Linked DNA regions of Arabidopsis thaliana. The protein of the gene in region 2 interacts with the protein of the main gene of each other region in a pairwise test. Each region holds a gene or a part of one and is shown on either strand. Other genes may lie near its edges.

Region 1 (3,907 bases), on a different chromosome or scaffold from region 2:
TATGATTCTATATATTTAGGTGACAAAAAGAATAGATAGTGGATATGATTGGAAGAGATGGAAATGGAGAACGTCCAAAGACGTTTTTAAGAACGGAGCTTACTTCGTGCCTTCTGGCTACGGAACCGTCACGCCGTTGTACGGAAGAGCAGAGCGGTTTCCGGTGTCTCACGGCTCTCTCGTCCCTTTGCTTACTTCATCCGCCGGTCCTCTCCATTGCTATTCCGGCAGAATTTGCTAACTAATTAATTATTATTCACGTATATATACATATGTGATTATATATAATGTTTCATAAAATGTAACGTTTTGATAATTTTGTTTCTTTCCTTGGAAACGACGAGGCGGAATTCCTGTTCCTGAGGTGTGTTTTGTGAATTATTCAGTACCCGGGACGGAATTCAAGTTATCTTGGAGGATTTATATACTTTTTGTTTTACTTTCAAGATTTGTTTTGTATAAAGATTTGAAGTTGACCAATGTGAAGAGTATAGTATTTTGGAGAAGTTTTTGTCTTGGCTTATACGAACAATTATGTGATTCTTAATATGGATGACGGTACAGCTACCATTATGCTTGCAAAATTTTTCTTGCTTGGTGCCTACCAAAAGATTACTATCCGACCAAAACGAAAAATTTACTATTGTATAAGAAAACACAAAAAATTATACGAAAATCTTTATCTAGAACTTGTAGTATACACAAAATCAAAGATAAAAGGTAAAGAACAAAAAAGGCAAAAGAGAGCGAAAAAAGAAGAAAAGAAGAGTGTGAGTGTGACCATGCTTTTAATCTTTTTAAAATTATGATTTCATTGGAGCTTTTAGAAAATTCTGTTCTCATTGCTTTGAACTCCACAAGTGACCGGAGCATTGGCTCTCACTTTCCTCAAGTACCAATATACTCCACCGGCAACGCCAATCGCTCCTGCCGCTGAAACTGCCGTCACTGTTCCTGTTAGCGACAAATTTTCCGGTTCAAATCAGGTCACAACTTACAAGTATATATAAAGTCATATAGTAATAAGATGACCACAAACTTCATGTTGTAGTTATAGTAAACTTGCTTATTTACCTGCGATAGCTCCTACGCGTTTATGGTTTACGAGGCTTGGATCTGCAGAATGTATCAAAATGATTGAAAATACGTATTAGTACTATCTAATAGTCCCTACCAAAAAAAAAACTATCTAATAGTAGTTAAATAGTTCTCAATAGAAATTGTAGTTAGGACGAAAAGATATGAACATAGACATTTTGACCTTTGCAATAAGTAGTGACATTGCCTTGTTTACAAAGGCACAAAAAATCTCGTGTCCTCGTATTAAACCCACAAACTCCACCACCTTTAGTCGTTTCTTGGCAAAGAAGGCACTTCATTGTCACTGGAAATTCGTAATCAACCCTTATCCCGTACTCTGGAAACTGATCATACGGTGCATTCTCCACACCTGTACTCCTCCAATACACACTTGTATACGTCGCACAGTCCTGCAGCATGAGCCTAAGAGATTGAGTCGCTTTAGGGTAATACGAACAACAAGAAACCCTAGATCCCAAAGCAGAGCCACATTCAGGCAAATGTCTGCATAGATAGCTAGAACTATCGCAGGACGAGTCACATCTATCTGGAAACCTTTCGCAGAAGAGCGGTTTTGGTTCGACGATAACTTTATCGGTGTTGCAGTTGAAGAACAAGTAGTCGTTTTGAGGAGAGACAGTGAAGTGTGTACTTGAATCGATGCTAAAAGATCTAGTGGGTCGAAAATTGTCTCGATCTTGACAGTTCCACATGAATGGATCGGAGACAAGAAGGTGAGGATCAGAGTAGCTTATAGATTTAACAGGGTATTTACCAGATGGTGTTCTAAGTTCGAGCTTGGTATCGTTGTCGGAGCAAATGAGCATGTGTCTGTAATAAGGGCTACCACAACCGTCGTCGATGGAAAAAGGGTAATTTATCGGAATGTTGCCGCAAGAAGATCTGCAGAGATTTGATTGGGATGATGTTGTTGATGATTGAAGAAGGATGGTCATGAGAAGGGAGAAGAAGATAATGTAAGAGTGAAGTGGAGACATTGTTCAAAAATTAGGAGTTTAGATTTGATTATTGGGTAGTTTTTAGTTATGAGATTATAATTTGGTGGTGTGAAGTGTTGAGTAAGCTTGGAATGTCTTGTTAAAGAGTTTAAGAATCAATCTTGTCATGTGCTTGTTAATATTGCTTATTTTAGGTTTCGGTTTGTTTTTAAAATTTCACCTTTCTTTTTAGTATAAAGTATTCCAAGAGGACTCGTGGTTTTGTTTCAGATTATTTGAAATATTTACATACAATATGTCAACAAACGTACTATTCTTTTTTCTGATATTTTACAACAAAATTTGTTCTTTAACATGTTATCTAAAAACCATTTAACAAAAAAAATAAAATGTATGAGAACCTTATAAAATACAAAATAGTAATTTCAGTATATAATAGTTTTGAATTTTCTTTTATTTAGAATTTCGTTTAAAGGGTTGTGATTTGTGAAGTAATCTTTGGAAGATAATCTCAATGTAAACAACACATTGGGCTTCTCATAGGCCCAATATAAACAACACATTGATCATTATCCATGTAAGGTGAACTCTTTAATCGAAACCGTTCAATTTCAGTCATCTCAATCCAACGGTTAGTATTCCAAGGAGCACGTAATCCACTCTAAATTCGTAAACACGTGATTTCTCACTAAATATAAAACTTGATACGTTACGCCTTCCTATCCATCCGTCAACGATTAAATCCAATCGTTCAATATAGAGATCCAACGGCTAATAACGAAACATTAGCCCACACGAAATCTCCTTTTTTTTTTTGACGGGATTATACAGTGGGCCTCCACCTGTAATTGTCCATTTAGGAGACAGCGCGGTTAATTTAGCATTATCCCTCCTCACAGTCATCTCTTTCTTCGCAAATAAATGTAACCATCTCTCTTCTCGTTTTCTTCAACAAAAATCCTCATTTCTCTGAGAATCTGGTGCTTTAGCTTTGGTGAGCTCTCTTTCTTATGAAACTTATCGATTCTCTTCTCGTTGATTGTCTTATACTTTTAGTTCTCTGCTTAATTTATTGTCCTTAATACTCGTGGATTTGTTCATAAATCGTTTTCTGAGCAGTTAGGTAAGAGTTTTGTTACCGAATTTCATGTTCTTCGATTTTGAATCTGGATGATTGTATGATGTGATTAGTAGACTCGCTTAGATTTTGTGATCTGTGTATGGTTTGTGGCTAATTTTGGTTTCATCGGTGGTATGAATTTATTTGGGGTTTTAGGTTTGTTTGATTACGTAATCGGACTGTTTACTTGAAGATTTATCGATTATAGTTGTGATCGTTTTTAGTTGATTGAGAAGAAGAAAATAAATTTCATGCTCTTGTTATTGTCGCGATTGTGGCGATTTTCAGTGTCTTATGAATCAATTATGTTGCATGTGAGTCTTGGTGCAATTGAGATTGTTTCCTTTTTTTACTAGATTGCTTGTCTTATTGAACAAAACTTTCCATTTATGTTGAAAAGGTTTATAGGAACGGATGTTTAGGGTTTTGTTGTAATCTGGGTATTTGCTTTCTGATTTCGGCAAGCAAATGTCGATTTCAAGGTTTATATCACTTTCTCTAGCAAAAGAAGTCTTTAGTCATTTGCAAAGTCAAGAGAGTTTTTACTTTATTTATTGCTTCCACGCTATTGCTTCGTGGCTGATTGAGAGAGACCAATTAAACTAATAATTTGTAGTTTGTACAATATATTGCGTGTAACATTGTCCTTCGTTATCTGTTTGAGGAGGAGGACCGAGTTAGCCTATTTTTAGTCACTTTACAAATTTTCTTTTATGTTGCATCATTCAATATGAACTCTCTGATATAA
Region 2 (4,274 bases):
GGAACAAGTCATGGGGAATCTATCATGTTTGGATGTTGCTTTGGATTTGAACTTCTTTCTTTACTTTGAATGCTTTGGATTCGATTCTAAACGATGTTTTTATGTCTTGCTTTGGATTTGAACTTCTTTCTTCTATTTGAATGGTTTTATTTGGATGTTTTGAATCTTGCTTTTTGGGTTGAACGTATGAAACTTTTATTATGTCATGCTTTATTGATTTTACTTTAAGTTTTTTTTATTACAAATTTACAGGTTTTATGGTATATGTGGTTAGTATCAAGTATGTTCGGGTATATTATAGTAGTTATAAACTAGTATCGAATAATATTCGGTTACTTTTTGGATTTTTCAATGGAAGTACCAATACCTACCCAAACCCAAAATTTACCGGATCGAACCCGAACCGAAGTTTTCAAATACCCGAACGGGGTCTAAAATTATAGTTCCGAAAAATCCGAACCCGAAAAAATCGATCCGAACCCGAACCGAATACCCAAACGCCCAGGACTAGGAGAAAAATACTCCTATCAACCAAATGAGTGTATATCAGACGATGTGTACGGACTAGCTTGATAATTAGTACAAGCGTCAAACAACAATTTTTTGAAATAAATTTAGAATTTTGTGCAATAAAAGCAAATTTCTTTGACCCAGCCGGTTATGCTCTAGTAAAATTAGTTAATGATCGCTAGAAGGACAAAGTCAATCTTGATTTTGATAATATCCTAATCTAACCAGAGTAATTACAAATTAACTGTATATGGCATAACCGATATTTTGGTAGTAATTGATTTGGCTCCTTATTACCATAAAGAAATAGAATTTTATTATAAAGAGATCAATTTTCTGATAGGTTAACTATACTAAGCTGATTAATATCAGTGTTGCGTGATTATATGGTATATTACGATTTGTATATCTTATTAAATGTGGATTATTTCTTAAAGCTTTTACTATGACACTAGGAATATATAACATTAATTTTCGTTTGATGTCGAAAATAATGGTTAGGTGAGATATAACAATCATAAACTAAATTAAAATAATATTTAACTTATCACGAATATTGTTCACATTGCTAACATACTAGCATGTATCCACATAGTATTGTTCACATTATAAGTAGAAAATTCTTATTAAAAAATAAAAAAATCACTACATTTTTTAATGCAATTTTATTGTTTACCTCCTAAAAAACAGATCAATTTCATAAAATAAAAAATAACTCGTAATAAAATTCCTCAAAAATAACCGATTTTGTATTATTTACTTTTTTGTCAATCGATATAAATTAGAACTAAAAAAAGTTAATCCCGAAAGATATTATTTATATATATGACATGATACGATCGATTTTATATCTATTTTTATCATTATTACCCCCGTTATTTCACATTTCTTATAACCTTTTGTTATTGTATAATTTTTCTTTTTATTATCAATCGGAACAAAGAAATACAGAAGTTAAAAGCAAAAGTAGTAAATATTATTAAACAATTATTGCGTGTAAAAATAGTGTATATGTGATCGTGTACAAAAGTACATGCATAACATGATCAATATAGAATGCAATACAACTATACAAATGTCAACAATCTACAAACACGTTTTAACTTTGAAAAGCAATCTAAAATTCATGAATCTAAATATACTCTCTGGCAGCTTTCTTATTACCATATCTTAAAGATTGAACCAAATAAATAAATTTACATCATTAACCAAATTAAACCATCCACATTTAATTTAATTACAACAAGTAAGTAAAAGATCGTCTCTTTCTTCTTTCCCGGAAAATCCTCTCATTTTTGACTTGCTCAATTTTGCTTCCTTAAGACCCAAAAATCCAAACCTAACCCTAATCGACATTTTCTCCGATTTCTAAATCCTCCTCCGGTGAAAATGTCTCACCTTGATGATCTTCCTTCTACTCCCGGAAAGTACAAAACCGATAAAGTTCCACCGTACGGGATTCTCCACCACCACCGTTACCTCCGTCTCTCAAAACTCACCCTTTGGGCTTCTCTCTTCCTCGCTCTCTTCCTCTTCTACCTCGTTTTATCTCCTCCTCCGTCACCATCTCGCCGGAATCTCAACGATTCTTCCTCCATTTCCGCCGCGAAATACGGCGGCTCTCACTGGGAGAAACAAGTCCGTAAATCCGCTCGTCCTAGGTCTCACGGCGGTTTAACGGTATTAGTCACCGGAGCTTCCGGATTCGTCGGTACTCACGTCTCGATCGCGTTACGAAGACGCGGCGATGGTGTTCTAGGTCTCGACAATTTCAATCGATACTACGATCCAAAGCTTAAACGAGCAAGACAAGGCCTTTTAGAAAGATCAGGTGTTTTCGTAGTCGAAGGCGATATAAACGACGCCGTTTTACTCAGAAAGCTCTTTGATGTTGTCCTCTTCACACATGTTATGCATCTCGCTGCTCAAGCTGGTGTGCGTTACGCAATGCAAAACCCTGGCTCATATGTTAACAGTAACATTGCTGGGTTTGTGAATCTATTAGAAGTATCGAAATCAGCGAATCCGCAACCTGCTATAGTCTGGGCTTCCTCTAGCTCTGTTTATGGTCTGAATTCGAAAGTACCCTTTTCGGAGAAAGACCGTACCGATCAACCAGCGAGTTTGTACGCAGCTACGAAGAAAGCAGGTGAAGGAATTGCGCATACTTACAATCACATCTACGGATTATCGTTAACGGGTTTGCGGTTTTTCACTGTCTATGGACCTTGGGGTAGACCAGATATGGCGTATTTCTTCTTTACTAAAGATATTCTTAAAGGGAAGACGATTACTGTGTTTGAATCTCCTGATAAAGGTAGTGTTGCTAGGGACTTCACTTACATTGATGATATTGTAAAAGGTTGTTTAGGTGCGTTAGATACTGCTGAGAAGAGTACTGGTAGTGGTGGTAAGAAGAAAGGTCCTGCTATGTTTAGGATTTATAATTTGGGGAATACTTCTCCTGTTCCTGTTACTAAGCTTGTGACTATATTAGAGAAGCTTTTGAAGATGAAAGCTAAGAAAAAGATCATGCCTCTACCGAGGAATGGGGATGTTGAGTTTACTCATGCCAATATCACGTTAGCGCAAGCAGAGCTCGGTTATAAACCTGCGGTTGATCTTGAGACGGGTTTGAAAAAGTTTGTGAAATGGTATATGGGTTTTTACACTGGCTCGAAGAAGAAGAGTTCTTGGTGAGCTCTGTCTCTCTGCTTAAGTCATGGTCTCTGTTTCCCCTTGTTGAGCTTGGAGTTCGCTCTAGGTTAAGCTTTTGAAACCGAGCACTTGCATTGCCAGGAAAAATCACTTACGTATCTGCATTGTTTCTGTGTTGCTAGATTTTGCTTCATTTATTTGTTAGTAGATTTTGAGCAATGTACAGCTTCATCACTTAGATGTTTCAATTGTCGAAACTCAATTGTCTTTTCCATCATGTCGGAGGAATAAAGTAGCTTGGATTTTGATGCATATACTCTGTAGTAATTCAATCTATTGTCACTTGTTTCTTGTGAATTCAAACATATATTTATTCTTATTCTGACCAATTTTTACATAGCTCTAATCACTTGACTAACGATGATGGTTTGGAAGAACAAATCAAATCACTGCATAATCTTATAACAAGAAACAATGAATGTTCTCTAGCCTGAAGTTTATGTAATATGCCAATAGATTCACAAGATTGTTCTCTAGCCTATACCATGTTATCTTCCTCTGCGCAATCAACCACGACATATGCGATGATGTTATCGACAAGTTCTTGAAGATCCAACACCATCTTCAGTATCGATCTTCCACCAGTCAACACCATCACCAATCTCCACAGGTTCCACCTCTGTTCCATTCTCAATCTCATCATCATAATCAAACTCGTAATCCCAAACACCGCAAGAACCACCTCTCTCTTTCTCCAAAGCAGGATCATAAGTCCACTCCAACTTCTTCAACACATCTCTATCCTTCCACTTCCCCACAACTTTCTCAACTTCCTTCTTCGCCTTCCCCATCGTCACTTCCTTCCACGAATACGCAACATCCGCTACTCGCTTCAGCGCACCTTCGTTCGAATCTCCAATCACAACCGTCCTCAAACACCTCTCCTTAGCTTCCCACAAAATCCCCGCAAAATCAGAATCATCAGACACTAAAACAACACACTCCACTTCTCTCTTATCCATCACTTCAACCAAATGTTCCTTCAACGCCTTATCAGCAGCATCTGGCTTATCACTAACCATCTTCACCCAAAAACCAGCTCGTTT

The links.
Region 1: the proteins of GAE5 (region 2) and AT1G11915 interact in a protein complementation assay, tested with the Arabidopsis thaliana proteins (one large-scale study listed by BioGRID).

What each region holds. Positions count from the first base shown.
Region 1 is NC_003070.9:4,020,001-4,023,907, reverse strand, and holds AT1G11915 (wall-associated receptor kinase galacturonan-binding protein), read right to left. Parts: upstream 2,159-3,907; 5' UTR 2,079-2,158; coding exon 1,262-2,078; intron 1,117-1,261; coding exon 1,075-1,116; intron 955-1,074; coding exon 824-954; 3' UTR 616-823; downstream 1-615. Other genes in the region: AT1G11920 (Pectin lyase-like superfamily protein), read left to right, coding at 20-241.
Region 2 is NC_003075.7:7,288,474-7,292,747, reverse strand, and holds GAE5 (UDP-D-glucuronate 4-epimerase 5), read left to right. Parts: upstream 1-1,627; 5' UTR 1,628-1,899; coding exon 1,900-3,210; 3' UTR 3,211-3,556; downstream 3,557-4,274. Other genes in the region: AT4G12240 (zinc finger (C2H2 type) family protein), read right to left, coding at 3,759-4,274. UniProt on the Arabidopsis thaliana protein: Involved in the synthesis of the negatively charged monosaccharide that forms the backbone of pectic cell wall components.